Linked DNA regions of Nothobranchius furzeri. The protein of the gene in region 3 purifies or fractionates together with the protein of the main gene of each other region. This does not show direct contact. Links are inferred from orthologs where the notes say so. Each region holds a gene or a part of one and is shown on either strand. Other genes may lie near its edges.

The links. The genes of interacting proteins can lie anywhere in the genome.
Region 1: the proteins of srsf3b (region 3) and srrm1 purify together in Homo sapiens (affinity purification with mass spectrometry; 3 studies listed by BioGRID and IntAct, with this or other methods). This does not show direct contact. The link is inferred for Nothobranchius furzeri from reciprocal best matches to the Homo sapiens genes SRSF3 and SRRM1.
Region 2: the proteins of srsf3b (region 3) and ncbp3 purify together in Homo sapiens (co-immunoprecipitation; 3 studies listed by BioGRID and IntAct, with this or other methods). This does not show direct contact. The link is inferred for Nothobranchius furzeri from reciprocal best matches to the Homo sapiens genes SRSF3 and NCBP3.
Region 4: the proteins of srsf3b (region 3) and larp1 purify together in Homo sapiens (co-immunoprecipitation; 3 studies listed by BioGRID and IntAct, with this or other methods). This does not show direct contact. The link is inferred for Nothobranchius furzeri from reciprocal best matches to the Homo sapiens genes SRSF3 and LARP1.

The regions. Positions count from the first base shown.
Region 1 is NC_091758.1:35,725,572-35,733,425, reverse strand, and holds the start of srrm1 (serine/arginine repetitive matrix protein 1), read left to right. Parts: upstream 1-3,132; 5' UTR 3,133-3,239; coding exon 3,240-3,260; intron 3,261-3,884; coding exon 3,885-3,974; intron 3,975-4,579; coding exon 4,580-4,702; intron 4,703-4,940; exon of another isoform or gene 4,941-5,067; intron 5,068-6,948; coding exon 6,949-7,119; intron 7,120-7,477; coding exon 7,478-7,572; intron 7,573-7,740; coding exon 7,741-7,854. Other genes in the region: tdh2 (L-threonine dehydrogenase 2), read left to right, coding at 3-93, 171-440, 731-876. UniProt on the Homo sapiens protein: Part of pre- and post-splicing multiprotein mRNP complexes. As a component of the minor spliceosome, involved in the splicing of U12-type introns in pre-mRNAs. Involved in numerous pre-mRNA processing events.
Region 2 is NC_091750.1:26,048,590-26,056,693, forward strand, and holds the start of ncbp3 (nuclear cap-binding protein subunit 3), read right to left. Parts: upstream 4,723-8,104; 5' UTR 4,188-4,722; coding exon 4,011-4,187; intron 3,685-4,010; coding exon 3,619-3,684; intron 2,887-3,618; coding exon 2,781-2,886; intron 2,695-2,780; coding exon 2,569-2,694; intron 2,461-2,568; coding exon 2,335-2,460; intron 2,253-2,334; coding exon 2,113-2,252; intron 2,034-2,112; coding exon 1,925-2,033; intron 1-1,924. UniProt on the Homo sapiens protein: Associates with NCBP1/CBP80 to form an alternative cap-binding complex (CBC) which plays a key role in mRNA export. NCBP3 serves as adapter protein linking the capped RNAs (m7GpppG-capped RNA) to NCBP1/CBP80.
Region 3 is NC_091743.1:46,710,072-46,718,001, forward strand, and holds srsf3b (serine/arginine-rich splicing factor 3b), read right to left. Parts: upstream 4,247-7,930; 5' UTR 4,111-4,246; intron 3,444-4,110; 5' UTR 3,436-3,443; coding exon 3,233-3,435; intron 3,138-3,232; coding exon 2,997-3,137; intron 1,274-2,996; coding exon 1,235-1,273; intron 1,102-1,234; coding exon 1,015-1,101; intron 848-1,014; coding exon 820-847; 3' UTR 298-819; downstream 1-297. Other genes in the region: S-adenosylhomocysteine hydrolase-like protein 1, read left to right, coding at 6,894-7,073. UniProt on the Homo sapiens protein: Splicing factor, which binds the consensus motif 5'-C[ACU][AU]C[ACU][AC]C-3' within pre-mRNA and promotes specific exons inclusion during alternative splicing.
Region 4 is NC_091750.1:54,200,241-54,208,162, reverse strand, and holds the start of larp1 (la-related protein 1), read right to left. Parts: upstream 4,723-7,922; 5' UTR 4,490-4,722; coding exon 4,120-4,489; intron 1-4,119. UniProt on the Homo sapiens protein: RNA-binding protein that regulates the translation of specific target mRNA species downstream of the mTORC1 complex, in function of growth signals and nutrient availability.

The DNA.
Region 1 (7,854 bases), on a different chromosome or scaffold from region 3:
AGTATCTCCATCACAAATACGGTTTGGACTTCCGCTGCCTGCGTTACCCTGGTGTGATATCAGTGAACACCCACCCTGGTGGAGGAACGACAGGTATTTCTCACCTCACAATCTCACGCTCTAATCATCTGGATGTCATCGGCATAAATTTAAACTTCGTTTTGTCACAGACTATGCCGTTCAGATCTTCCATGATGCTCTAAGTACAGGTCACCATGTGTGCTACCTGCGTCCTGACACCCGACTTCCCATGATGCACATCTCAGACTGCCACCGTGCCACTGTGGAGTACATGCAGGCTCCAGAGTGCCAGCTATCGCTGCGGACCTACAACATAGATGCCATGAGCTTCACCCCAGAGGAGGTGGCCCAAGAAATCCGCAAGCATCTCCCTCACCTTAAGGTCACTTACAATCCAGACTCTGTGCGCCAGACAATCGGTATGATGATAATTTAACTAATTAACCCTCCCACGGCCCTAATGGGTGTGACCCTGCGAGGAAAGTTGACCATTGAGCAGGGTTGATGGTTTATCCCTTGGGGTTCATGTGGCAGGGGTGAGGAGTGAGCACCACCTCACCCCTGCCACGTAGACCTCAAAGGATAAACCATCAATCCTGCTCCATGGTCAACTTTCCTTGCAGGGTCGCCCATAAAGACAGTGGGAGGGTGAAAGCTGGAACAGTATTGTGAAAGTAACACAGCTATAAGATATTTTGTCACTTTGCAGCTGACAGCTGGCCTGTGAGATTTGACGACACTAATGCCAGGAGGGACTGGGGCTGGAAGCCGGCCTTTGGGCTTGAGGAACTCGTGTCAGATATGCTGAAATCTGTTCGCGACAAGAGGATCATCGAGGGCTTTCCAGTCAGCTAGCAAAACCTTCCCTACAAAGACCGACCCAAGCTCCATGGATGACCTTCTTTCGTTTACCATTGGTTTTCCCCAGCAGTTTCCAGTATTTGTTCCTGCATAATCACGCCAATCTTTTAGAAGTTGATTGTAAATAAAGAATTCTCAGTCAGAACTTCTCAATATGTCATACTCATCTACAAAGTCAGGATTTCGCAGTCTAATTCAGGGAATCATACATTGTTACATATCCTCATCTTTGTTGTTTCTATTTGTTATTGCATTATTTCACTTTACACATGAGAAAGTGCCTCAACTGGGGTTTTAACATATTTTAATGCATGACCACAACACATTGTAGCAGTGTGTGTCCAAGGCAACGTGGACCAGGTGTTCACTGGAATGGCTCGCTCACATCAGTCTGGACTACCATGCTGTATTCTGCCTGTTTCACTGAACATTATTTTGTAAGATGCCAGAGACTATAATGTAAAAATAACACATCACTCAGATGTTATACATGCAATTACTCTTGTTACATATTTTGAAAATTATTTTTAGGCTCTAGAGTGACTTTGGTTCGAAAATAATATGATATGCATTGGAATAAAAAAATGTATAAAATGCAGTGTATGTGGAACTAAGACTTACTAATAATCACAGATAATTCAAGTGTTGTTTAGACAAAATAAACAGACTTTTGTACAATATTTCAAAGATGTGCATTTTGTGGTAAAAATTTAATGATCACAGAAAAAAAATTATTTATTGTTTCCAATATGTGCATAATCCATAAATTATTAGTAAAGAAAATATATGGTTGTTTTTAATGATTTTTGGTGTGTGTGTGTGTGTGTGTGTGTGTGTGTGTGTGTGTCTGTGTATTGGTCTACTATTTGTTTATTTAAGGATCCCCATTAGTCTTCACCATAGTGAAGACTATTCTTCCTGGGGTCCACATCATTAAAAAACATTTACAATAGTACATATACAGTGTAAGAAAAAGAACATACAAAACATTTAAACAAATGTATCCATTAATAAGAAAATTCAGCAAAGATAAAATCATTCAAATAAGAAAATACCAACACCCCCCCCACCCCACCCCACCCCCACCCCCGGCCAGTTAATAACTATAATTCAATTCAATTCAATTCAAAAATACTTTATTAATCCCAGAGGGAAATTGATTAAAAACTAATTTAAAAGCCCACATCAGTCATTTAGTTTTAAGTTGTTATGGATGACCAAAGTCTTAAGAATTTTCTTGAATCTGCCATGATTATTTATTAATGCCACTCCTGGAGGCCGGATATTCCAATATGAAACAGCTCTGTAAATGACTTCTCTTGAGGGCATTCGTTTTTGGCAATGGAAGGGTAAAGGTTACTTGGGAGGCTCTCCTTGTGTTAAAACCATGTCTTTTACATGTCGGTAGAAACTTTGTGAACAAACTGAAAGGTTTATGTGATATCCAAGTTTTCTGCAAAGAAATAATCAGGCTACAGACTAATCTGCCATTTACCTTCATCCAGGACAACCTGTGATGCATCCAGTTGATATTGGTTGATATCTGCTAGTATGTATTGGAATGTCTGTATGAAGATTTGTCACCAGGAGTGTTTAAAAAAATACTGTCTATGTTATGAGGGAGGAGCTGCTCCATGCCAGCCCAGGTCCTACCAGCAGCAGATCTAGGTGGCCACAAATTCTCCAACAACCAACAGCTCCCAAAGAACCAACACTATTCAGCCATCCCAGATGATGGGATGAACCCAACCTGGGCAAGAAGGGGAACCAGCCTGAGGACGAAAGGACACCAGCCTCCAGCCAACGGGAACCCACTTGGGGCTGTCAGTCCTGGAGTCCCAAGCCCAGCACATCATCATCACGCCAATGCAGGTCAGCCAGGAGCCAGACAACCCCATTCCCCATTGGCCTAAACTCCACAAAGGGCTACCAAGCACAGGGGAACCAAACCAACATAGCAACCCTCGCCCCTTGCAGAGGGAGTGTAACTGTACCCCCAAACCATGGAGATGGTGAAGATTCTGACTCCTTGTTTTCTAAATATACCAGTCCTAATAAATGCCACTTAGAGGTTTCATGTATTCAATGTATATGGTTTACAGTAAAGTACTTTTAAATATATAAAAACGGAATAAAAAATGTATGAACTGAATAAAATATGAAACTGATATATTTAGAAATTAATGTAAAAAATAAGAATTGTCAATAAGTGGAAAGAAATAAAAAATGACGCGGGCAAGCGCAGTACTCGTTACATCCTGTAGGGGCTCACTCTGCATCCGGCTGGCCACTCGAGCTTCACCAGAGGGACGCACTTCTTTCTCCGCAGCGCTTGAAACAATCGATTTTCACCGAGAATGGACGCGGGATTCTTCCGCGTGAGTGTTTGAAACAAACATCTATCATTTTTATAAATTTGTGTCGCGCTGAATGTTAATAAATTGGCATTAATATCCCGTTTACAGTTTGGTCGAGGGCCACACTTGATAGAAGCGGTGCGGTAATGGCTCCGTCTATCAACTGATTTTGAACGATTCTGCTATTTGTAGTCAGTCCTCTTTTCAATGTAGCTAATTTGGAAATTAGTATTGTTTTTATGAAACTGATAATTGTATTATTTTGAGCCCGTGTTATGTTATTTTACTAACGCATCTCAGCATTTTTGGTATAATTTTCATATAGTCTTCTCAGGAATTAGACAGGTCCGTGCAGCTAAATTGTTGGCCTTGGCTTAAGATGGCGCCCGGTGTTGTGCCTAAACGAGCTAGTCACGACCATGTTACGCCAACGTTACTTTGGTACATTTAACTTTCGGCTTATTGAAGACTGACACCATTCAGACCTTTAAGAGCACATTTATATCGACGCTGTTATCGTTGACACCGCTTTCTTGCTAATGTAATCTTCCTTGTTAGTACTTAGCAACCGGCTAGCTAGCTTGTTGCTAGTTCAGTGTCATGTGTAACCCGAATACACTAATTTCTATCTGTTGAATATTTTAGGGTACGAGTGCGGAGCAGGACAACCGTTTCAGCAACAAGCAGAAAAAACTACTGAAGCAGCTGAAATTTGCAGAATGTTTGGACAAGAAGGTATGTGATCTCCTGATGGTGATTAAACTGTTATTCTGGTTATTTCTCATCATATAGCATCCAAACATGTGGTGGTCAGAGGGACCGGTAGCACCTCATTTTTATCATTGAGCCCCAGGACAGTTGTGGCTACATTGTAGCTCATCACCATCGGCATGTGAATGTGTGTGTGATTGGATGAGTGATACACTGTAGTGTAAAGCGCTTTGGAGACCTCTGACCTATTCATCATATCCCAGACAAACCGTAACAATCAGAGGTTTTTCTGTTCTGAATGTTAAATGAAAACAAAAATTTTCTTTTAGGGCCGCTGAGACATATCTTACTTCTCCATATGTAATCTGCTTGTGTACGTCAATATTTTATTTTGAATAGGATTTGTTGTAGAGGTTGGATTTGTGGCAAATACCCAAGTAAAAATCCCAAATAAGTCTGTTCCTTGTGTGACCTGACATCTGTAATAGATATAACCCATTAATGTGACTATTTTGCATAAATGCATTTGGTAATTGCATCTGAGTGCCTGTGTAATGCTGCTTATTCCAATAAAATGAGTATAAAGATGATCACTTTTTAAAAATATTGACTTGCCTGTTTTTTCTCAGGTGGACATGACCAAAGTCAACTTGGAAGTCATCAAACCGTGGATTACCCAACGTGTGACAGAGATTCTTGGCTTTGAGGATGATGTGGTCATTGAGTTCATATTCAACCAACTTGAAGAGAAGGTATTGTTTTTCCTCTGTTTGTTTTATTTTTTTTCTGTCAGAGCTGTTGTAATTCAGGGCATTGCTTAGCCAGCAAGAAGGGATGTTAGTAAAATAAATGCACATCCTAGTCAAACTGAGAATGAATGGGTAAAGTAAAAAATAGTTGGTTTATTTGTGTAGATCTTGTTTTGCTGTTATGTGACAACGTGCCTTTTTATTTAGCAGTCTTCTAATGATGATGTGATTTATGATTTAAAAGGCCTGAACCAATATGGATGTTATACCTTGCATCAGAAGTATAGCACCAACATCTAATTAGCTCTCTCCTGAGCCCAAAGTCTCTGAGCCCAACTCTCCCTTCATGATGCAGTGTGTGTTTTGAGGTGAGTTGTATATAGGGATCATCTACATCTTGTCAGTGAAAGACACAACTGAACAGTTCCATTATCATATTCTCCGTAGGCATTTTTAGATGCCAACTACCTTCATTAATCCAGAAAAGGGTTTAGAAAATGCCATGGTTTATTTTTAAGTATAAAAAATAAAAATTTGTTTTAACCCTGAAAAGTATTGTCTCACTGACCACCCCTGATTGCAAGTTTTGCATCAGTTGCACTTCTGTTGAGTATAACGTGCATTCTGTTGCACTTTTATTTAACTGCACTCGAGAGTTGCTGCGTTTCCATCAAGTTGTCTATTTTAAACAAATCTCATAGATGTTGACCTACATGAGGTACATGCTGCATTTCTTTGAGTTAATAAATGAAGATGTGTAGAAAGAATATTTTTCAGTTCTGTTGGGGAAGGCTGAGAATTAAAAACGCCAGCAGCCAGAAACAAATAAAACAAGCTAAATTAGATGCTTCTTTTGTTTCCCTTTTTGCCAAAACTTTTATTTATTTATGCATGGTTTTCCCCAAATAACTCTGTTAGTTTATAATTTTACAGGATGAACAGTTTTATTCTAATAAACCTGAAATATTTCATAAAACTCAAAATAGAAATGAAAAATATGTTGATGGAAACCGTTTATGGTCTGTGTTGAAGGCGAGCAGAGTGCATTACTATTGCAAGTAGAGAACTTCAACCACAGGAGGTCAGCACAAACGAGATTTTCTACAGAAACAATACTTTTCAGCTTATTGCTATAAAACCTGATTTGTAATCATTTCAGAATATTCATTTATGTCTCTTCTTTACCATGTATGTTATTTTATTTTTAAATACTTTCTAGTTTTAGACTTTTTAAAAACTTTTATGATCCAGTGGTAACCTCTTAAGCATGTGAGACCTCTGCATAGTGACCAATAACTTGCAAATATAACATTTTTTGTTCTTTTGCTAAATCAGCCTGAGGAATAACGTCAGAATACTTAAGTTCCCAAAGTACCTGATTGCAAGTTTTGGCATCTATTCAAACTGGCCTTCTTTTGAACTTTGGCTCTTTTCTGCTAATAGAAATGTAATTGTGTATAAATGATACTAGTATGATGTTTACATAATTTCTATTCTATTTTTGTTTTTTCCTAGTTCTTAAAGCTAACTGGGGTGAAGTGGATTTTGTGATAGAATAGAGATTACAGTTTGGCTAGTTTTAACACTTGTTTTAATAAAAAATAAAGTTTGTGTGTAACTGTACTCATTATTGCTTGTTCGTCTCTTGCAATTTAGATAAATGATATAACATTAAGCTCATGGTGGTTGAGTCTCAAGCAGTAGGGAGGCGGAAGCAAGCCAATGGAGCTCCGTGCCCACTGATCCCACGGGACTCACTGAAGACACCGGAACTGTACTTGCAGTGTTGGGTTTTGATGCACTCTGTATTGTGGTTATTTGTTTAACCCCTGAAGTGTAGACTGTGGGGAGACTGGGGCAAATGGGGCGGGGTAAAAAGTAGAGCAGTAGTACAAATATGATCACAAAATGCTGATTATTTTAAAATTATTTAGGGATTTACAACAGAATTATTGCATGCAGTTTTTTGTTTACATTGCTAGAAATGTCTCCCCTCAGCTAACTTGCATTCTCAGTTTCAAGAGTTCAGTACAGACTGAGTAAATAATTAATTAAAAGTTTCTGAGTCCAGTATTGTAGACGGCATTGTGTATGATTTAGATCTGGTTAGCTAGATTATCCCAGGTTTAGTCTAGACAGGGATAGATGGTGGGAAGCCCCATGTGTGGGACCCTGCCTCCTTTTTATGTTTTCTATTATTTCAACGGCTTTGTCTCTTTTTCTTTCCCCCTTTATTGTGTATGTTGCAGCATCCTGATAGTAAGATGATGCAGATCAACCTGACAGGGTTTCTGAATGGCAAGAACGCCCGTGAGTTCATGGGAGACCTGTGGCCCCTGCTGCTGAGTGCCCAGGAGAACATTGCTGGCATCCCGTCTGCTTTCCTGGAACAGAAGAAGGAGGAAATCCGACAGAGACAGGTGATGCGTCTTTAGAACCTCAGAACTTTATATGAAAGTGCACTTCCTCAGACTTTACGGGATAAACAGACACTATAAATGGAGTAAAAAGAATGCATGTAAAATTTTATTTTATCCAAAATAAAATCTTCATAAAAAACAAATTCATCTTATTCAATAAAATGTATTTATTGCCACCCCTATACAACGTTGACAATGTAATTAATCAGGTAAATAATACGTTTTAATCCTGATGGAGAACGTTTTGGAAAACACAAAATTTTACACTTGAGGTACATTTTATTTTGAAAACGGCAGCTTAGTCCGAGTTGTCCATGTTTGTTAGTATATTATTCAGCTATAGTTTAATATTTGACAGATTGAACAAGAGAAACTGGCTTCCCTGAGAAAGGTGGATGAGGACAAGAAGGATAAAGACACCAGAGAGAGGGCTCAGTCCAAGAGCCCAAGAAGGTGGGAGGTTTTTGTTTTAAATGTGAATCAAACTTCTTCTGTTGTTAAATTTACTATAGTGACATAGATTATCCCAAAGGTATAACATGTTTGGAACTAATTATTGTTTGATCACGATCACTGGGAAACATCCGTTCATATTAACGTCTGTTCTGTTCCTTTGGTCAGGAGGAAAACCAGGTCACCATCACCACGACGAAGGTCGCCTGCCAAACGGGAAAGAAAACGCAGCCCGTCACGCTCCCCAAGACGCAAACCCAGTCCGCTCAGTGCAAACTCACC
Region 2 (8,104 bases), on a different chromosome or scaffold from region 3:
TTTTTATTATCAAATTTATTGACGTGGGAAACTTTATCTCGATAAAAGTCAGAAATTTCGATAACGATAAATTTTCGATTTATTGCGCAGCCCTACGTCTGGACTTAAATTTATGAATTTTAGACCTTTTTAGACTCTAAAACCCCACAGGAACCCTGGCCTAAGGAAAGCGGACGTGACTGAGAACAAGGACAGTGTGATGTCACGAGCAAATTTCCAAGCATGGAAAAAGAGCGCAGAGAAGTCCGCTGCATCTCCAGAGAGAGTTAAGATGGCGCTCGCGCGGGTGCACGCTGCAAGCTGCTCGTCCTCTTTACGCAGTGGTACCTTGCTTTTTACTGGCTTTTATTGGCTTTTATGCATTTTTGTTGTCTCTGATGCTTTTTTTGAAAGGTGTGGATCCTCTGCTGACTTATGATCGAGCCGCGCTGCTGAGGCTTCATCCTCCCGTTGATGTAGCGGGCTCCGCGAGCTGGGAACCTCACGGATGGCGCTGCTGGTCGGACTGCCCGTGTGCTCTCTCCCCCCAAGCCGTGATGTGTCGGCCCTCTGTCCGCCCCAGCTCGAGAAGGAAGCATCGGAGAAGACGGGGAAAGAGAGGTAGCCGGCGCGTGAGACGTCGGCCTGGGCCCCTGAAGAAGCGGCTGGCCCGATTCGGCCCAGCTTCTGACCCGGTGGTTCCGAGATGTCTCCTGGATTACTCGGCACCCTGCCCAGGGAACTTGGCCGGCTCTGAGGGTGAACTGGCACCGCGCCACGGCCGATCGGCTCGAAGATCTCGCCAGACTGGGGTTTGCTGGGAGAATCTGCGCTCGGTTACGGGCACAGAGTTAAAGGAGACTGTGCTCGTGCGCGATCTCGGCGCTGCAGCCCCGCCGCAGACCCGATTTGGTCTGGTCAATGCCAGGTCTGTGCTGAACAAAACTTTTATACTTCTGGATTTTTTTATTCAGCATGGCTTGGGTTTTCTCTGCATCTGTGAGTCCTGGATCCCGTTTGGTGACTCAAGCGCCCTGCTGGAGCTGGTACCACCTGGCTGCTCCTGCCAGTCATCACTGCGTCGCCTACAGGTTGTGCAGAAGAGCGCAGCCAGGTTCCTGACAGGGACCAGGAAACGGGACCACATCAGTCCGGTTCTGGCCTCCCTGCACTGGCTTCCGGTTTGCTATCGCTCACAATTCAAAATCCTCGTCTTTGTTTATCATTTCTTCCAGGGTGCTGCTCCCCCCTATCTGGCCACTCTCCTGAACAAACATTCCCCATCACGCGCTCTGCGCTCCTCTGAACAAGGCCTGCTCGCTGTCCCTCGTTCTAGGTGTCGTACTCGCGGGGACCGGGCTTTCTCAGTCCTAGCACCATCTCTCTGGAACCAGTTGCCACCCTCAGTTATGGGCCATTCCCATCTGTACCGGGTCGGCCCGGGCCGGGTAGCCCCAGTCGGCCCCAGCCTGGCCCGGTTGATTCCACACATCCTTGTCTTAAGACCATGTGGGCTGATTCTACCCACCAATCAGAGGCTTGCTCTAATGGAAGGTGTGAATTTGCTGTCAGCAGTGGGCGTGTTGGCCCTGGTCGGCCTGAAGCAGACCCCCTCGAGAAGAGGGCTGAGAATGAGCCTTGGTTGGCCCGGAAAAATACCAGGCCACCCAGATATGATATGGGCCGTTCCCATCTGTACCGGGTCGGTCCGGGCCGGGTAGCATTTGTTATTCACTATATTTGTACTTCTACTGTGCCATGTTCAGCGCCTTGGGCTTCCTGACAGGGTTGCGGAAGGCGCTTTATAAATAAAGCTTTGATTGATTGATGGATTGAATAAAAGTGGTCCGAGCAGTCTTGCTTTTGGAGACTGTGTGTGTGTGTGTGTGTGTGTGTGTGTGTGTGTGTGTGTGTGTGTGTGTGTGTGTGTGTGTGTGTATGAGACCTTGTGTAGCAAAGCGCAGAAACAGTTTGTTTCCTTTAAACGGTTTGATGGCAGGTCTCAGCTCGTTCCTCAGCAGCGACTCCCTCTCAGCTGCTGACAAGTCGTCCACCTGACAAAAACCGCTGAGTCAGTCATTGGTGACACACAAACTGCTGAGTCACTTTGTGACATCACAGTAAACGCTCTACCTGGCCACCATCCACCTTCCTGTTCTGGTCCACTTCTTCATCACCATTCTTCTTCACCTCCTCTTCCACCTCTCCCTCCTCCTCCTCCTCTTCATCATCATCATCATCATCCTCTTCTTCCGACCCTCGAACCCGTCGAGCTGTGATGTTAAAACAGATTAGATTACCTATAATGCACCACACCTTCATGACATGTTCAGTTCAGTCGTGACTCAGACCCACTTTTGTTCCGTTTGCCCGGCTGCTCGCTGGACTCCGTCTCCGTGACAACAACCTCTGGTGTGGGCATCTGGCTGGAGTTGATGAGAGCTCTGATACAGGTGTCATCATCCAGCCAAACTACGTTACCTAGGCGACAACAGGACAGGTGAGATGCTGCTGAGCAGCACTGCTGTCCTGGACCTCTGCTCTGATTGGAGCAGAACGCATTTTGTTACTCTCATGTTCGTTACTCACAGGAAGTGTCATTGATCCACTCAATGTGGGCTGGAGGATACTCCCTGAAGTACCCGAACACATCCTGCGTGCTCATGTCGTCCACACCACTCACATGGATCGCCTCCATCCGCAGTTTAAAGATGGCTGAGCACCACAGAAGAAGAAAGCTACAGTTCCATAAACCCAAGCAGACTGCTGTTAATGATTTGAAACAGAACACCGGCTCACACCTTTCTTCATGGCATCTTTATCCAGGAAGACGTTCCTCTGACCAACGCTCTCCTCACAGCGGAAGTGGAAACGTCTTGCTCGTTTCTCTTTCCTCTCAAACGCTTCCTGACAAACAAAACCTACAATCAGATACCCGAGACTTGAAGATCACTTTTACAACTGAAATCATTAACAATGATCAAATATGAGCTAAAAGTGTTTCCTGATTATGTTCAGATTTCACAAAATGACCTGAGCTTGTCCTTTATGAGAGCAACATTTACAATCAACAGGAACAGACAAGAAACAACAAACCAGCACCTGCTGTCGCTGAAGTACAGGTGGTACGTGACATCACAGCATTGCATTCTGGGTACTTGAGGCTACATGGGCATAAGTGAACTACCAGCTGCTGTTCCAGAGAAGACGGCGTTCCCAACAGACAACTCGAAGATGGGTGGCGATTATCTAGAGCAACCTAACCCTAACCCAGCGGTCAGAGGAGGATTGGGTTGTGGACTGACGACCCTGCTCAAACCAGTAAGCCGTAGATCTGTTAGTCTGAGCCTTCATCATCTGGAATGTTTAAAATGACGTGGTTTTATCTGAGCGGTGGTCACTGCTGATCCTTGCTCCCATCCATCATGAGGTATGGCAAGCTGTTGTGTGTCACATGAGAAGCACCGCTGTACCTGGCACAGGAGGAGAAGCTCGAACAACTAGTTCTCAGATGAAAGCTCGCCCTTCCCAGAATGTGCTCCTAATCATGAAGAAGCCTCAGCTTGTTAGACCTGCTCGCAGGATGCACTAAAACATCCAGGAGTGTTTCTCCAGCTCAGGTGTGTCCGGTTCCGGTACCTTCGAGTTCACGTCTATCCCGGTGATGAACGCTCCGGCCTTGTTCTCGTACCTCCGGCTGGTGTCCTGAAAACAGCAGATCCAGAATCAGCCTGAGGAGCTTTCCCGGGGGGAGCCCTCACCTTGTATTGTTTACGTTTGTGTCATCTACCCTTGACAGAAACAAACAAACTCCTGGCTTTTATTCATCTCTCGGACTACAAACAAGTAGATTTTAAATTGTGATTTTTCTTCATTAACGAAACCTTTGACTTCAAAGCCATTAAACGGAGACAGAAACCGCGGTTGCTAACCGGGGAGAGCCGCTGCTTCAGCGCCGGCGCCTCCCGCTGCTCGGCCGGCGGGAGGCACACGCGAGTCCCCGGTCTATCGAGGCCTAGTCGGAAACTTACCGGGAGCAGCTCCTTCAGAGAGCGGTTAACCGAGATGTCCTCCGCCTCCAGCTCTCCCTCCTCCACCTCCATTGGTTCGGCCTCACGGGCATCTCGATCTGACTCGGAGTCTGAGTTCGGTTCCGAGCGATCCGAACCGCTGTCTGATTTAACCTGTAAACTGCGCACTGCCGCCATGGCGCTAACTGCAGCAAACAACCGCAGGTGGTGCTGCGCTGAATCCTGCGACAATTCAGCGCGCTTCTTCTTCTACGGTGCAATTTTTTTTAAACAATCTTTATTGACACATTTGCAGCAGACAAGACATAATATATTGACAAAACAACATCGATGTACAGGGTGTGATACATTGACAAACAGAGAAGAAAAAGAAAACACTGTTAATGAAAGTAAACATAAATAATTATATACAAACAAAATAACATAAAATAAAACAAAATTCCACTAATACATTACCTTGTAATATGGGGCATAATAGAATTCATCAAGTTGCATATTTTCACAGCTTTCTTGTTTTTACTAATTCTACGTACAGTCTCATGAAAAAAATTAAGAACAATATAAAATAAAGTTACATTTGGTATAGTCTGTAGAAATCTGACTTTATGAATGTGAAATTTACCCAACAGACACAGCAATTTTATTACATTGTTAACTTCCTTGTTACATTTAACGTTTAAGAATAAGACCATACTTTCATTAAAAGTAATCAATATTTTATGAGAATCCCAAACTAATGAAGACAATTGATTCCAAAACTGTACAACTAAAGGACAACCATAAAACAAATGAGTAAGAGACTCAACACCTGTTTTGCAAAAGGAACATAAAGGGGACACATCAGGTCTAAATCTATTAATAAATTCATTACACGGATTATATCTATGTAAGATTTTCAAGTGTATTTCTTTAACTTTATTGGGGACAAAAAATTTCTGAACCTCAGAAAAGGCATTGCTACTGATGTCAGGAAACATTACCCTCCAACGATGTAATGAATTTGGAACCTGACTATATAGAGAGGTGAAAACGGCTCTAATGTGAGCATTGTTACATGAGTGCTCTTCAAGAAGCTTTCCACCAAGACACAGTGCAGGAATCCTTCCTGTGTAAGGTGTATACTGAACAGGAGCTCTGACAAGAGACAGTAAATGAACAGGAATGCTTTGGAGGATTCTAGAGTGCATAGCGAGAGATGTGTTGAACCCCTTTCGTTGGATGAATTCATCATAGGTAGCTAGGTCCCGTTATCATTCAAAAGATCAAACACAAACATAACACCTTGATCATACCAGTCTTTGTAAAACAGAGTCTTGTTCTTGTGAGCAATATGTTGATTGTTCCATAAAGTACATGTGTGAGGGGAAAAGTTGTGTTTGAAAGCCATTTTCCAAGTGTCCAGGGCTTGTTTGTGAAAGTTGGCCAGTTCAATAGGCAGTTTATCTGAGGTAAAGTTGCATGAAAGCAAGAACTTTAAACCGCCACATTTGTTAACCAAAAAAATTGGGAATAAAAAACCATGGTTCATTATTATGTGAAAGACAATGTTTTAACCAATTAATTTTGAATATATTGTTGATAGTTTGGAAATCCAATACATTAAGACCCCCCTCTGAAATGTGTCTAATAAGTGTTTTCCTCTTTACATATTCATTTTTATGTTTCCAAATAAACTTAAATAAGAGTGAATCAATAGCTGCACAGGTTTTCCTATCAACATATAAAAATAAAGCTGGGTATACTAACCTGGATAATCCTTCAGCCTTGGAGAGTAAAACACGACCTATAATGGTAAGATCCCTCTGTAGCCAGCAATTAAAGACAGATTTAGATTTCTCAATTTTAGGGTTGAAGTTTTTTGAAATTCTTTCACTAGAGGATTTGCTTAATGTGATAACCAAATATTTAACTTCTTTTTTAACCTCTATGCCATCTATTGATACGGTGTCTAAATCATGTATGGCTAATATTTCACATTTTCTCTTATTAACTGTGAGACCAGAAGCATCCGAGAACCTGTTTAAAGCTTTAATAATAACAGGGACTTGAAGATCATTTTGAAGAAAAAGGCTGGTATGACTGGCCAGCTTACTGATGGTTAGAACATCTTGACCTGTTTTAATACCTTTTACATTCACACAGTTAACAATGAAAAGATTAAGAAGTTCAGCAGCTTTCAAGAATAAGAAAGGGGAAATAGGACACCCTTGTCTTATTCCACGCTTCACATCAAAGCGAGGAGAGGTACCATGTGCAAGACATACACAGCTATTAACATTAGTGTAAAGAGTGATTATTATGTTCCTGAAGTATTATTTGAACCCAAAATAATGTAAAGCCTCAAAAATAAATGAGTGCTCCACAGTATCAAAAGGTTTGTAGAAGTCCAAAAATAAAATCAATGACTTTTCATCAAACAAATGTCCATAATCTAAAATATCTAAAACAAGCCTGATATTGTTAGAGATGTGTCGACCTTTCATAAATCCTGACTGCGTTACAGAGATAATTTCTTCCAAGCAAAATTTTAGTCTATTTGCGTATAGTGATGCAAGTATTTTATAGTCTGAATTTAGTAACGTTATAGGACGTCAATTATCCAAATAATGTAGATCAGGTTTGGGAATTAAGGATATTACACCTTGCTTCATAGAGACAGTCAGTTCCATATTTTTGGCACAATCCATGAAGGCTTCTAACAACATATATTTTAAGTCATCCCAAAAGGTTTGGTAAAATTCATAAGGCAACCCATGGGGGCCTGGACTTTTATTAGATGGCTTTTTTGTAATAGTCTTCTTCAGTTCTTCAAGCGTAGTTTGACTTTCACAAAGCTCACAATTCTCCCCGGAAATTTTAGGAATGAATGGGGAGATACAATCAAAAAAATCCTGAGAGGCTTGAGGCACAAACAAGGATGAGTATCTTCTGATAAAAGTTAGAGATAAAGGAAGAAATTTCATTTTCATCTTTTGAGAGATTGTCATTAACCCTTTGATGCATGAATTATGAAATCTTCAACCATGATTTTTTTAAACAATGTTTTTCATTCATCTTTAGGTGTGAATGAAACAAATTTCATATTTACATATTTTTTGTAAAATGTAATTTACAAATAATTTATTACATGTCCACCTCAGTGGACAGTGTGCAATCTGAACATGAAATATGTTGGCTTGACTTACTGAAGTACAAATGGAGGGGTTCAAATGCAATAAAGTCTTCAACAGCTGTGCTTTATAGCAAAAATAAATAAATAACAATTTTAATTATCTGTCCACTGTAGTGACCATTATCCATCAAAGTGTTAATATATCAAGTAGATATTTTTCTTGCCTCTCCACGTTTTTTCTCCAGATTAAAAAAGAAGGTTGAGTTTTTTCTCCGTGTTCCAACCATCTAGCCCGAGACCTTATAAAAGCCCCCCTTGCCTTTTTCTGGAAATAAAGGTCTAATTTTCCCCTTAATGAGTGCAAACGCACTTTATCTTCCTTACTGAGAACAGGTATACTTAAAATTTCATTAAACTCTTTTAAATAATTAGTATAAGCTTTATTCTGATCTCTTATTTGTTGCTTTCCAAAGCGTATTGAGAAGCGCTAACATTCAAATGTGAAAACTCCCATTTTAGGGTAGGTGTAATTTCAGACATTGAATTGAATTTAGTGGCAATTTTTTTTAATGCCCAAGCAGTAATCATCTGTTTGTAGCAAGGAAGAGTTTAATTCCCTTTTCTTTTTCTTTTGTGTGTGTGTGTGTGAGTGTGTGTGTGTGTGTGTGTGGGTGTGTGTGTGTGTGTGTGTGTGTGTGTGTGTGTGTGTGTGTGTGTGTGTGTGTGTGTGTGTGTGTGTGTGTGTGTGTGTGTGTGTGTCCTGTCTGGCTGTGAAGCAAACAGAATTGATGTCTGAATGCTGGTGACAAGCCTTACAGATTTACTCTCAGGTGGAGCATCAAAGCATCTGCTTTTAATGTCACGCCTGATACTTAAAACTTTATTGTTATTGTTTTTGAATGCTTTGTAATTCTGACCAGACACGGAAACAGAGGTGAAAGGGAAAGGAAAAGACAAAAGATAGGGGGAAAGGCGGGGGTGG
Region 3 (7,930 bases):
TTAAAGAGCACCCTCATCTCTTTTCTGTAAAAGTCCCAATGTTATTATAAATGTATGCCTTTACTCATGGAAAGATGCCAGTTAGCCATTTAAATGATTTATACTTTTTTCAATTCTGTAAAAAAAATATAATTTTAATTTGTGCCCTCACCTGGCCACCCCAAAAACCATTTTCCAGACACCACTGGGGCGGAATGAGGCATCTTTGTTTCTGAGACACTGAGCTGATGCCCTCTTGTGGACAAAACTTTAAACTAAAACCAAAAACTATTTGGGGGGAAATAAATTCACATTACATTCTTGACAAAACCAGATTTTTATTTGAGACTAGTTTATATCATATGAAAAAAAAACACACACACAATGATGTAAAACTTAATAGTCAACTATCTGACTTGTGTTGACTACACTTCTGAATAAACGTCATAGTTTTGCTTCTTGGACAACAAAATGATACAAGTTGAAAACAGGTGGGCTTCACACAAAAAGGGATAATTGAGCATCTCCAAATCTTTATGAAAACAAAATGTTTGCACTTACAGTGAAAAAGACAATCCACATTGTCAAACCACAGAAACATTTAACTGGTGAAAAATTGAAGCTTAAGGAGGTTAACGCTGGAATGCAGGGCATGACAGACTGGTGATGTACACACCCAGTCAATGCATCTGAAAGCAACTCTAAAGAAAAGGAGGGACACTAAAATGATTGTTAAAAAAACAAATGACTATCACATGGTCATGCTGACAACCACCTCAACAATGGATGAGCCTGTACAAACGTTCCATCTTCAGCTCCCTTTACACCTAATGGATTATTTTATCTTCGGTCATTAGACCTGGAACGGCTGTGGGCAAAGACAAGATGTCCATTAGGTAAAGCTTTTAAAAACATGATGCTTTATGGAATACTCTATAGAAACACGAGAAAATCAGGTTTTAAGACTGAACCATTTCTAGCGCTCACAAACTAGACATTTGTTTTACTTGAGACATAAACTAAAGCTCTCAGTACCTCCTTGATCGGGAGAAGGACCTGGAGGGCTTGTGGTTCCTGTCCCGGGAGAGGGACCTCTCTCTCCTCCTTTCTCTAGACAAAGACCTGAAAATAAATAAAGCTCCGATTTAGTAGGTTAAATAAACAGTTCAGCACCCAGACCAGTGTTTCACCATCATGTTGGTGACAACATGACTTTTCCTGCATGAACGAGACCGACCCTTTAAAGTTCACATACCTGCTTCGGCTGCGGCTCAAGCTCCGCCTGCGAGGAGATCTGCACAAGGAAAATCAAAGTGTTATAACCCCAAACAAATGCTGTCATCGACCTGTAGATCTCATACTGGACTCGCAGCACAGCCCACTATTATTTTACTAATTTAAGAGCAGTAAATGTTTTCCCCCTCTCAGAAAAATGTATCAGAAAATAGCCACTGGCAGTAAACCTAGCACATAAAGATGGCAGGTGTCAAGTAATCTCCTCTCACCTATCCCACAGTACAATGAGTAACTTTTGTAATTGTAATAAGTACTGTCTAATGAATCCCATTAATAATTTAAGAGGGTTTGGGCTCTGAGAAGAGCAAACACTGTACTGTGGACTGGCCCGTGTGTGAAAAATAAGAACGTACAGGGGCCACCATCTGTATGAAACTGGTTCACTTCAAAAGAAATACCTAAACAAAAATGGAGGCTAGTAAAGATGTATATGTCACAGGAAATAAATTGAGAAAAAAACCAGGTTAAAATGTCGCCGCCAACACCACAATCATAGACTGAGTCATAGAAAGGCTTGAGTTTTGGATGGTGTGTGTATCAAGTAAAAGAACATTAGCTATCATATCAAAACCTCTGGAAACATGACGTTCCAGATATTTGATATAAAATCATTCCTGTTTGAAAAATAGTGGATAATAAAACGACAAACCAATAAATGAGATAAAGAAATAACCTTTTCAAACCAGCTGTTTCTTCAGTGTTAAAACTGTAATCTGCAGTGTACTGAATGAAGCAGGAAAACTTACTAGTATTTTTGGATTTCAACAAGCTAGATATGACGAAAGGGAGGCAGACTGTCGGCCGGGTAGGTAGAATTGGCTGAATGGGACTGGCCGGATGCTGCAAGGTGATTAGATGGCAGGCAGATGGGGGCTGGTTGTGGCTTTATTCCTGCTTTAATTGGTAAGCCGAAGGCTGCTGCCGGTAGGTTGTAGACTTTTGGGAACATAATACGCTGATTGGTCGGGAATGTGATGTGGGCCGCTGCCGTTTGGTTAAAGGTTGAAGGAGAAGGAGGTTGAGAACGGCATGCTGAGGAACCAATGGGCTGGTGCAACCTGACGACTGGCCATGCCTGGGTCATGTGACAGCACAAGCCAAGCTGATTGGGGCCCGATGGTCAGCAGTCACATGATGCTGAAAGAAGACTAGTTGACTGACTCAGAGGGTGGTGAGAAGAGGCATGGTGGTGGCTCTGCAACGGGTTTCATTCTTATTAATATAGATAAAAAGTATAAAGCATCCTCAAACAAAAAAAAGGAATTTTTCACAACACATTTGGCACTTTCATCCACCAAAATCTTTAAACAAGTCATATTTTTATGAATAAAGCCCTTTCTTTTCTGCCTAAACCTGATTCACAGCCCTATTTTGCCACCTTAAGTCTTAACATTTTAAGCACACAACAGTACACACTTCAAAGAAGTATTTATGTCTGAAGCAAAAGTCACATTTTGCGTGACACTTAAGCAGCTTTCAACATAGAGGCTACATTGTCAAAAACAATGTCCTGTCTAAAAGGCATAATTCTGTAATTGGATCAAATACCTGTTTGGCTGGTTGTACTAAATGACTAATGCCAATGAGGATGAAACTGCAAGGCTTTGATAGACCAACAGTCACCAATGTTATCAGCAGGAAAGAGATGGATGAGTAAATCAGCAAGAATGTTAAAAATACAATTTATCTCTATTGTCTGTTATCAAATACACTTAGGTCACCTTCGTCGGGGAGGCGGGCTACGACGTCGATAGTCATCTCGGTCTCGAATACGCCTGCCCCACGAAGGGGGAGCTCCACGGCTACGGTTACGTTTTTCTCCATTGGACAGCTCCACTCGAACTCGGCAACCACAAAGTGACCTGGTGGCCAATCACAAAGGGCAGAGGTCGTTAGCTCCTGCAGAACTAATTCAGATGCCCTCTGCGTTTACAGCAAAATATACATCTACACTCACCTTCCATCAAGCTCTCGAACTGCATCAGTTGCATCTCGAGGGTCTTCAAACTCCACAAAGGCAAAACCTGGGGGGTTCCTGGCCACCCAGACACTGCGGAGGGGGCCGTAGTAGCCAAAAGCTCTCTCTAGCTCCGTCTTGTTTCCATTGTTGCCCAAATTTCCAACGTAGACTTTACAGTCTAGGGGACAGTCTCGATGCATGACTGGAGCTGAGATCAACAGCAAAGAGAAAAATGGGAAGCAGTTAGATCCGTTAGGCGAAAACCGCATTGTTTCTCTTCCTGTTGCACAAATTAGGAATGATATGTTAGATAGTTTTAAATGAAGAAAATCATACTAGGATGTTTTAAATGAAGAAAATCGTACTAGGATGGTAAAAATATAGCCCATGTAAACACAGTAATGTGATAAAAGACAGGCCTTTAATCTAGATGCATGTACAAAAGTGTTCTGTGACCCGATAAAACATTTTAATATCTTATTAGAAATAAATAAATTCAACCCCAGGCTGAACAAGAATACATGACCTAGTTTCCGTTAGCGATAAGTGCTAACATTAGCAAGCACGGAAACCAAATCATGAATTAGGCGTTACCAATGAAACCAAACTCGCTTTAGTTTCCAATGAACCGAAACAAACAAATCAACATATACAAACATTTAGGAAAAAACTCGGCAGAGTAAATGTCGGCGCTAATAGCTGTAAAAATAAGATGGCTGCCGTCTTTCCGCGGCCTACTCTCGGCTAGAGGCGCTCTAAATCAACCCGAACAATGAAACCATGTGCACGTAGTTAAAAAAACACGCGCCCCGAAATTTGTTTCTTCTAAGTAAGCTCCATATCATAAACAATGAATGTATTAAAACAAGCAGTACCGTTTTTTGATTGAAGTTACAGCTCTGAGCAAAAACGCTTCTCCCACACGTTAGAGCTCCTCGGTTGGTCGAGGGAAAATGGAGTGACGGAACAGACGCTGGTCTGCGGATATATTCACCCGGAAGTTGCAGGGAGCGGGCAAGGCGGGATGTTTCCTGCTCTAAAGGTTTGGCTCCTACTCTAAATACCTTTTTTGAATACCTTTCATCATTTCAGTCATCGAGATGACTCGATAATACACGTTGGGCATTTTACTGACTCTTGAAAGATTTGTTTCAAACGCCAAATGAGGTGAGCTACAATACCATATATGGCCACATGAGGAAATTAGTGACGCTGTTTTCTAAACGTTTTAGAAAGAACTCAACCTAAATTCGATTATCATTAATAAAGTTAATATTTACAGTTCGTTATAAATCAAAACAACATCATATTACAGAAACTGCAACTTAGCAATAAGTGTGAATTAGATATAGACATTAAATACCAATGTGAAAAGAAGATATGATTAACCAAATACCACCAAATAAAAATTATGGCCCCTCATTTTTTTAAATTTAGAATCTGAAAATCCTCAAGATATTATTATTATTACTGTTATTATTATTGCTTTAACGTTTAAAAGTTCAAAGTTATGCCGCACTATTAAACTATTCTGTAAAAGTAGCATTATAAATATTAACTGTATACTGAAAATTACCGGAAGCCAGTGTAAAGTGGTTTGGTGTGATATTATCACTACAAATGTATTACTTCACTGACAGATAACAGATCTTCTGAGCACAAGTCACCCATGTCCCAAAGTCACGATATGTAAAGATTTATGAGCATGTCAATGTTCTTGGAAAAATAATAACAGCATTTTAACCAGAAAAGCACATTTTAGAATTTAGAAAAACAAATGAGATAGACATCTTTTCCCAACGAAGTCAGTCTATTTTTACCTAAACAGCATAAAGCACAGTTTGCTTATCTTAGAAAAGGCACTGAAGCAGTAGAAAAAGGTTTAACCACTGGATCAGCCTGTTTCAAGTCCTATTCTTTCAACTATGGGCACAAGTGACAGACAGTGATGACTGATGCCCTTTCAATGATAAACATTGTCACCTGGTATCTTTAATAAAACAGTCTTCTAAGCATTGTGAACATTGGGCAACATTCCAAAGTAAATGTTCTAATTTTCTTTTGGAATGTGCTGCAGGCCTGCATGACAGGTTTCATTATTATTTTTAATGTAAGTAAACAACATGGAGTAGATCTGCTGCTCCTCCACATCGAGTGGAGTCAGTTGATGCGGCCCTGGAAGCCTCCCTGGTGAGGTTTTCCGGGCACATCCAACCGAGAGAAAACCTAAAGGGAGGCCTGGGACACGTTGGAGGGATTATGCCTCTCACCTGGCCAGGGAATGCATTTGGGTTCCTCCGGAAGAGCTGCTCAAGTGGCTGGGGAGAGGGAAGTCTTAAGAATTACATTTTTTTAAGAATTCTGACTTTAAATCTCAGCAAAAAAAAAAAAAAAAAAAAAAAAACCAGTCAAAATTATGAGCAAAAAGTCAGAATACTCATTTTCTTTTCAGTGGCCTTGATCCTCTTCTGTGGTAACACTTCTCAAGACTGAATTTTGACTAAAAATTATGAAGATTCCAGATGAACACCATCACAAATACCAGTTTGACTGCAACATATGTGAAATGTTGTGATAGCTGCAATAAACCTTTTTATTTCAAAATAAGTAGGTTTGTGTCCTTTCCACTTACTAAACACGTTGCTACTGTGTTTCAGTACATTTATTATCGTTGCTTGCATTGCTAAAACTAATGATCTTGGTCACTGGGCCCAACGTCTAGCAAATTCTACTGATTTCCCAGCTTGCATGGTCAACACTGTGAAGTTGTGTCAGTCAGCATTCCCAGACATGAACTACAATTTCCAATGGAAATAAGACCCAGCATAACAGCAGCAGGAGTGCCCTTCCTCATGTAATTTCTGACGACAATGAACGTGAAAACTCCATGATTATGAATGGGTAAGTTGGTGGGACCAGCTGCACATACTGATTACGCAGGCTCGATCTGGTTTTAAAAAATGCAACACGGTGGCAGCACCCATGAACTATACTTACCCTGAATACCTTTTTCAACAAAGGAAGAAAGTGGATATGCATGCTTGGTTTATCTTTTTCCACGTCTTGAGAGGAGCCATGAGCAGAGGTATGCTTTCAAAAAGCTGGTGTACTTCAATGTATCACTTTGTTCTGTGGAATTGGGGAGTCACTTCCTGTTTGAAAAGACGATTGAATGAAAATCAATAATTCGAAACGAACATGATTTTCTTCTTATAATAAAGCTCAATGTTATAGTACGGGTCGTATGAAGACACTGCGTTTGCCTTTATGTGATATACATGAGAAAGTAAGTGATCTAAATGAAAAATGAGAGGGTTTTTTAAAAGGACGTGTTGGTTTTCCCACGCACCATGAATGCAGCTCAGTCCCAGTAGTTTGTTGGTAGCCGCCTACAAAGTTACTCAGCTCAGCCTGGTTGCGACAGCTGAGCAGGGAAGCGGCGCGACTACAGCCTACGCAACCCAACTGAGATATTCATCAGCTCCAAATCAAAGTCCGATAATCGTTATCTCTTACGTATTGATGTTATTTACGTACGCGTTATCTAAAAGCCGCTCTTCCTGCTCCCAAGTTGCTCGCTAGTAGCGGACGTTAGCTTGTCTCGTGCGGCTGCTACCTTGTATTTCTGTGCAGGTACGGTTACACAACCGCCTCGAACATGTCAGACCCAGCTGGTGAGACGAAGCTGGAGGTGAAACAAGCGAGCAAAGAGGTGAAAGAGAGCGAAAACGTGGCGGAAAAATACTCAGCCATGACCGTAAGCAAAAACAGTGAGATGAACATTGGAGAGCTGTCGCCTGTGTTCAGCGCCGTGCCCACTCACAAACCGGTGAAAAAGGTGAGACTTCTCCAACTACAGCAGGTGTCAGCTGAACGGACCTCTACTCTGTCCCATGACTGACTCCACTTATTTAATATATATTACATCTGCTTGTTTCTGTGTCTCCATCCTCTGTTGCGCATCATCGCTATGTTGTCCTTTTTTATTTTTATAAAAGTGCTCTTTAGAGTAACAAAACACATATTTACATTTCAAAACTACAAACAGACTGAAGAATTAAGCTCTAAAGTACTATTACAGGCATTTATGGAAAATGTCACCCAGTCTGGGTCTACATTAACGCCTCAAAGCACAAATGGACAAACATTGTGTTCTATACATTTTCTAACTTTGAAATAAGATTTTTCAAAAGATTGGTTTATACAGAATATTAGGAAGGGAAATACCACCAGCAGGTTGTTTGTCATTATAACTAGTTATATGTGTAGATAAGTTAATATGATTTAAGGAAGGGGTCTCCAGCCTAAGGGCTGGTTCTGGATGCTAAGAAAAATGAAAACATCTGGAGCTGCATTGTGGGACAGTTGGCTGCATTGTTGCAAGATGATCACAGTTTCGATTCCCAGCTGTGAGAAGGGTTGCAACGATTATACATTTTGGTGGTACGATTATAGTCTGAGAATGAATCATGGTTTCCTGACCATGATTATTTTACATGAATTGATTTCACAGCTTAACATATATAAATCACACATACATTCAATAAATTATTGATAAAGGGCGTGAATACATTCTATAAAGGTTTTGAACCCCTGAAATATCTGTTGTGCCTTTTCAGAGATCTTGCTTAGAAAAATTCACTCTACTACTGATTTGCAATGTTGATGTTTTACAAATAACTCAAGGCTGGAGGA
Region 4 (7,922 bases), on a different chromosome or scaffold from region 3:
TCCAGAGGAAGCATGGGGGAAAGTCATGTGGCCAGATGAGACCAACACAGAGCTTTTGGGTATGAACTCTACTTGCAGTAGGGCTGGGGGTAAACGATTATTTTTAAAACGATTATTCTGACGATTATTTTATTGAATAGTCGACTATTCTAATCACTATTTAGAAAATTAATCTAATGATTATTTTTCTATTGCACAATTAACAAAAACCAGAAAATCTCAAATAAATTCCTCAAAAAAATTGATAAATTATTACTGTAAGAGAATAAACACTACAGGCCTTCCATTTTGTATAACACTGCTTTTATTGTGTTGGTTGGTTATGTTCTGGTGACGTGTAGAACTTGGGAGTGCAGGCTGTTGCCTGAGAGGTGGTAGAAGATGGAGTGTCTCCATGCTGCTTTGTTTTGGTCACTTATGTGCGTGAGGCGAGTGGTCTTACGGGTTAAACCAAACTCAGGTGATATTTTACACTAAACCGAAAACCCACATCACTCTAAATGTAATAAAAGGGAGATCTACACCACAAAAAAGATGAACTCTAAACCAAAACGTAACAGCTTATCCCAACGCAAGAAGCTGTTAGCGAAGATGCTAACAGTAGCTTTACCAACATTAAGTTCAAGTTACCAAGTTTAAATAAACCAAAAACACCCAGCAGCAAACAGACCAGCACGGAGGAGAGACTGCTACCACCAAAACAGCTCTCCTCATGTCTGAAAGAAGCTCCTTAATGAAGGGAGAAACGCTCCCAGTGATTTTCTACATCTGCGGTAGGCACGAAGCAGCGCATCTGACCCCGGAAGTTGTTGTCCGTTGCCGGGAGACGAAGGGGCAAAACAGGAAAATAATCTAGTAGAGGACGGACGTTGTTCCGGGTCTTCGGTATTTGGCGGAGATGTTAGTGAAGGCGGAGAAGAAGGCGAACTAGAGGAAAAGCAGGCAGATTCCTCCTCTATTTACAAACTCCTGAGGATGCAACAAGTGGGCGCGGTGCGTCAACTTCCGGATCTGACGTCGACAAATTTTTAGAATCGAGCCGTCGACTTCGTCGAGGCTTCGCTACAGCCCTAACTTGCAGTGCTTTATTTATTTTTTGGGGGGGGGTCACAAGAACACCAGCCCTACTGTAAAGCATGGAGGTGGAAAAATTATGCTTTGGGGGAACATTCCTGCAGGGGAACAGGACGACTGCATTGCATTAAAGATGAATGAGGCAGCGGTTTGTGAGATTTTGAGAAACAAAATTCTTCCCTCAGTCAAGGGCATTGAAGATATGTCGTGCTGGGTCTTCCAACATGACAATAACCTGAAGCACACAGACTGATAACCAAGGAGTGGCTCTGTAAGAAGCATATCAAGGCTCTGGAGTGGTTTAGACACTTTCCAGACCTAAATCCACTAGAAGATCTTTGGAGGAAACTGAAACTCCTTGTTGCTCAGCGACAGCCGTGAAACCTGACAGATCTAGATGAGATCTGTGTGTGTGGAGGAGTGGGCTACAATCCTTATGTGCAACACAAATAAATTCTTTAAAATACATACAATGTGATTTCCTGAAAGTTTTAAATGCTGTCTTACAGTAGGAATGCTCCTACAGTGTGAACCTCAGACCCCTCTATGATTTCTAATTAGGAGAACTTGCAAAATCGCAGGGTGTTCAAATACTTTAGTTCCTCCATGTATGTGTATTTGATCAGAGCAGAAAAACTGCACAACTGTACATCTTTGGCATGCACACATTTTCAATAATTTTGTGCCAAATGAACATAAATATGGGATATTACAGATTATTTGTCATTTTCAAAGGCAGCCTTGAATGAAGTGTGTGAGGGAAAAGCTGACAGTTGCAGCTGGTAATGTTACACATCCCGTTTCTAAACATAGAACATGGTTGACAGCAAAACAACAGGGTGCAGAATTTTACCCACCAGTATTTCTAAAAATCACTCAAATTCTAAATAAATGCTGCCCATTTGGAAAAATAAAACCTTTGAGAACAACTTTTCTGCACACAGAACCAACAAACCAGGTCATCATGTGCATTTTAACATCTTTTGGCTTTCAAATACAACAAAAACAAAGAGTGCCTCTACTGCCTGGTTGGCCCAACCAGTCTGTGTTAATGTGACAGCGTTTGGAGCCAATTCGCTCAGATCCTGGGTACAGTCTGTACCATGAAGTTTGCAAAGGTTACACGTACTTCATAGCTGCAAACAAACCCATCTGGAACAAACACAAAAAACAGAAAATCCAGGCTGCTAGCAGGTCACAGCTACAGCATGTTAGCTAAAACCTGAAAATACTAAAAAATTAAAGTGGTTTAACCACAAAACAAAGCTCCACATAAGCACTACACAACAAACAAGGAAAAGTGTTTCTTGAAGCTAAAACATGAATTGTAATAAGGTTCGGAAGTAAACAAATGACTACGATGATCAATCAATAAAAACGTTTATTATAAAGACCAGTGCATGATTTGAGCTTCTGTCATTACTATGATTTGGTAGAGGTTTTGTGCTGATCCAAACCATGTTTATACTCTTGACAGCCAGTTTGCTTATGTAGTCGTTTATTTTTTTTACATTTGCGTTTGAATTGTGAGGTCATTTTTTTCATAGATGACATTTATGAGTACTCCTGGAGAGTTAACAGTTTAAATCACTTTTGTTTTGTGTTATTTAAACGAGCAAAATCTTGTTGTCTTGGGATACAATAATGCTGAGGTGGTGTCGCCCAGCACTAGATATTTAGCCATATGTATCTGCACCTTAACACTGACTTTTCTCTACAATCACCATTTTTGTTAGTTTTGATCAGTCGGTTTTTATTGTAGCACAACTTCACAAGGTATCCAAAAGAAACAGGTAATAGTAACTACAGCGTCCTTAAGTAGAGGTAATGATGACTCTGCTGAATTGCTAACAAGCTAACGTTAGCTAGCAGTGTGAACCAACAGACAGGACCTCGGTTTGTCCTGACAACAGATACACGACATGACAGCTGGCTCTGTGACCACTAGACAGGCAGACTGTCTCAAATTTTATGCTCTAAACTAAATTGTAGCTTCAGACTCGATGCAGTAACTCGGCTAACTAGTTAGCACCATGCTTTTTCTCTCGGGGAACACGTGGAATGAGCACGTGACGCCTCACAACAATCCTGCTTCTTTTAAGCTATTAAACGAGTAAATGTTTGGTTTTATTGCATCGAAAACGGATCCCAGATAGGCAGAGCAACTGTTTTGATTTTCTCGCCGTAGCTAGATGTGGGAAAGCAGCCACACTGAAGCAAGGCTGAGTGGGAAGGGTTTGGCGACAGACTAGGCCAAAGGGGAGTCTGTGTGCTATTGTTAGCCGGCTGAGCTGCTACACAATCCGTACTGGCTCGAGTTTTAGTCTGCTAACTGATGCAATGAGGGCGTCTTAGTCAGATAATGGCTGGCGTGATGGGTTTGCTCTAAACGAACATGTAAACACAAGCAAAAACTAGTCTAAACACTCGGCTAAGCCGATGGGAGTGCGTGCGTGTGTTTAGAATCAAAGCAGCAATACATGAGCAAAGCACGAAGACACAAGAGCTGTTAGCATGTCCCCTTTAAAATAAAGTATCAAGTGTTTGCAAGCAGAATGCATATTACTAGAATGCTAGAATCCACGGTCCCCGAATGGAAACGACTGCACGTTGTGTGGTGTGATGACACAAACATTCACATCCACAGCACAAAGAGCTTAATTAGTAAAGTACACCTTTCAAAGTGTGTTAGAAGATGACTGTTTAGACCTTAAGTCATGCTAAAAGTAAACAAGAGCCATTATGACTCACTACTCATAGAGCGACGTCAAATCGTTGAATATTTGGAGTATTTTAATTGTTTTCAAAGGGTGTGCCTACTTATACAGTCTGCCACCCATTGACCCCAAGAATAGCCTTCACTGTGAGGGGGAGGATGGGGGTTTAACTCCAAATATGAGAGTGACAGCGCTGGGAGTCTTTTTAATTGGCTATTTGAATAAAAGCTAAGTGAGCCATCGGATGAAAGCGACCAAACGTGACCATAGAGACACCAAGAAGAGAAGAGTGACAGCTGAGAGATGAACATGTTTGGAGGGTACCGACCGGTGTGCGCTTGTCCGTTCACGCTGACCACGGTCACCGCATTCATTTTCCTAGTCCACGGGTTCACCTTGGGCGGGGGAGCTTCGGTAAACTCCTTCCTGCTGTTGTCTTTTACACCCTCCTCGCTTTGCTTGCCTTCGCTGTCACCTCCGTCTTTGCTCTGCTCTACCGCCCGTTTGGAGGTCTGCTCCTCCGCGCCGGTGGTCCCTCCCTGAACGGAGCTGCTATCGGTGACACCAGTCTGCAGTTGCTGGGCCCCCTCATCCCGACTGCCCTCCAACTCCTCCGGCTCACCGTCTATCATTTTACCGTGCTCCTCCGCTGTGGCAAGCGGGTTGCCGGGCAGGAGAGCCTCCACCTGAGTGGCCATTTCCGACCAACCGTCGTTCTTCCCCCTTCAGGATTATTAACTCCCCCTTTTTGGTCCGATTTAGCTTTCAATTTCAGGGAACGGTGAAGTTGTTCCGCGCGGTCTGCTGCTCCTCTGTCGCCCCTCGACCAAAAGAGCTTCAGCCTAAGACGCGGAGCAGTCAGCGCCGAGTTAAAACATGTAAAAACTACAGAAACGTGTCAGTGGGCCTCTCAGGATTACAACCTTATCACCACCACTAGCAGCAATATGGATGATCTCTACCACGCGATAGAGGAGTGCGCGCACGTACGCTGTGGAGGAGGAGTAGCCACGTAAACGCAGGGAGCGCGCTTCAGGATGATGCTTTCAGGAGCTATTCGTAAAAAATCGTGTCTGCAAAGTTGCAGTCTGTAACTTCTTTGAGAATCGAAAATGTATCGGAGTTTTATGGGTTTTTTTTGGTTGTTTTAAGGCTCATAATTCTCTTTGAATCATTTGGCCATCTTGAATTATGTTTATGTTACTTAAAGACTGATTTAAGTCGAATGTAATTGCTTGTGCATACTGCGAACAGTCCATTGTCTTTATGTCTAACATTTTTTTTTATCTTGTTTGTTTTCATCTTATCTGTATGTTGCTCTTTGGTGTAATTGTGTCTGTTGCTGCTGCCTCTTGGCCAGATCGCCATAAACGAGAATGAGTTCTCAATCAACTCATCTAGTTAAATAAAGGTTAAATAAAAATAAATAAAATTTTGTGTAAAAGTTATTGATAGTAAAAATAGATTTCTGAACAGCAGAGAAACAGAGTTTACACCCTTAAAGACTGATGAGCTAGCAGCTAGTTGGAACGCTGCCGAGATCAAAGTATTTTGGTGCGTTAAAACAGCTTCATGTGAATGTTATTTTATGGACATCTAGACTACATTTAATTTCACTTGATAATGATGTTTTGCATAAATTAAGATCAAAGACAAATTTCTTTGCAGGAGCAGAAGTGACAAGTCTTAGTTTCCAAGTGCTATTACATATTATACTTAACATTCATAGTTTATATTTTCTCTCTCTCACTCTTGGTTCATTGAATCATTATCGATTTGCAATCAGGTAATGGATTTTTTTTGCCTATAGTTTGTTTTCATAAGATGAATAAAATAAATCTTGAGACCAATATGACTTTTTTTATTGGACCTGGTGAGAAATGTAATATTGTATAGTTTGCTAATATTGTGTAGTATAGTTTTAAAAAGTTCCTAAAATAACTTGTATAAGCCACACTAAAATGTCATTTACTTTAAAGGTAGTTTCAAAGATTTACTGAGAAATTTTTGGAAAGTTCTTTAGAGCATTTTTTATTTATTTAGTGGAGTCATATCCACTATTGCATATCTAATAATATCACAAAAAGTATTTGGTACACGCAGCTTGGGGTTCAGACAAGATTCAAATACTTCCACGTCAAAGATTTCCGATGAAGTTGAACGCAGCATTAATCCCGTCAGTCCAGAACTTCCTTTACCAGTCCGAAACGCTCATTTTTTAGCACACCTTCTACTTTGTTCAACATCATGAGTATTGTGTAACGCTTACTTGTCTGTCAGGAGTGTGTTTGAGTTTATTTTCACTTCAGCTCTCCGTTAGAAAAAGCGAGCAAAAGAATACGAACCCCCCTTAAACCAAAAACACACACATCACACACGTGTTCATTTCGAAGGCGCACGTGTTTGAAGTGCGCGCTGATTCACGTTTTTCTGTTTTTCTCCCCCCGAAGCTTCATGTTCGGATCCTCACCGGCTAGTACTAAGTTTTGGTCGACTCAAGTCCATGGGACTGAGTTTTATTGGTTATTTTTGTTAATTGGATCCAGTGAGAAACTCAGCTGATGTCTGATTTTCTAAGCAAAAAGGTTCAAGTTAAGGAACACCACAAATCTTTGACTTTTCATAACTAGTTTTTAGAATATATGAAAATGCATTTTAAAATCCATCTACTGTACATCTGTTGGCCACTTCAGGTACACCTTACTGAGTTGGACCCACTTTAACCTTGAGAACTGCCTTTTCTCACCAAGGTGTTAGATATGTTCTACAGAGATTCTGGTTCATATTGAGAAGATAGCATCACAATTAAATCAATTAGTCTCCTGTTCAGCATCCCAAAAGGTCTGGACTGCATTGAGATCTTGTGACTCTTGGTGTTGCTGAAATAACTCATCTTCTTGTTCAAGAAGCCAGTTAGAGATGATCCGAGTTGTGTGACATGGTGCATTATCCTGCTGAAAGTAGCCTTCAGAAGATTGGTCCACTGTGGTCATAGAGGGATGGACAACCACTGTGATTACCTTAAAGCTACTATAGCAAATGTGGAAAACAAATAAGCTTAAAACATTTTCTTTGTGCCTCTTTACGTTCTAACATAGTATACTGTAGCTATAAATATTTTGTGGAGTTAAAAAATTTTTATAAAGGTGTTCTCTCGCATTTGTCTAAAAACCTCTGCTAATAACACGGCTCGAATGAAAACAACTATTGGACCATCCAGTTGTCGGTCTGCCGAACCACTGCACAATCTCAGGTCCTCCATTCAATACACACTTGCGTATTTAGAAACAGAACACCACTGTTGTGAGAGGTTCTGCGCTCAATAGAATCAGAGAAGGAGAAACAGCCACTAACCCCAACCCTCCATTTCAACTTTAAGACGTAATTTTCACTTTAGAAGTGAGGGGGACACGGGGGAAGGGGAGGAGGGGGGGGGGGGGGGCGTATCTTTACAGTATGCTCTAATGGGAAACAGGCTTCAACACAAACGGTTGTTTTCGGCTTGGTCCTATAGCTCAACCAGTGTCAATTTAATATAGCGTAATATTGTTTTTGGATGGTAAAAAGTGCAGGGGCCAAAACTTGACTTTGGAAAAATTGGGGGGGACATGTCCCCCATGTCAACCCAACCCAATTGACATGTCCCCCATGACCCCCCCCCCCAAAAAAAAAATTACGTCCATGAGACAAGCAACCAGAGTACAAAAAAGTAAAACACCATTTGAAGTTAAGGACAACAAAAGACCTTTGGACGTAGAAAACCAACTCAATCTCACACCCAAAGCGGCGAAAAATGACACTGGGTGACCAAGTGTTTGTTTTTGACGCGCTGTGCCAGAGTGTCGGTTTCCGACTGCCACGGTAAAACGGAGATTTCACAGAATTCTCACATTTACACTTTTGCTATTTAACCTTCCCCTCACCCCCATCCTAACCTTAACCCTCTTGCGCTTTCAAAACTTTGTTCCTAGTTGTTATGTTCCTCTCCAACACAGTTAACAGGAACTTTAGAATGAGCAACAGGTTTAAGGTTTACAATGGGGGTAAGGGGAAGATTAAATAGCAAGAGGTTAGAGGTTAAATGTAGGTGAAATGTGCGTTTTATCGCGGGTGTCAGAAACTGACATTCTG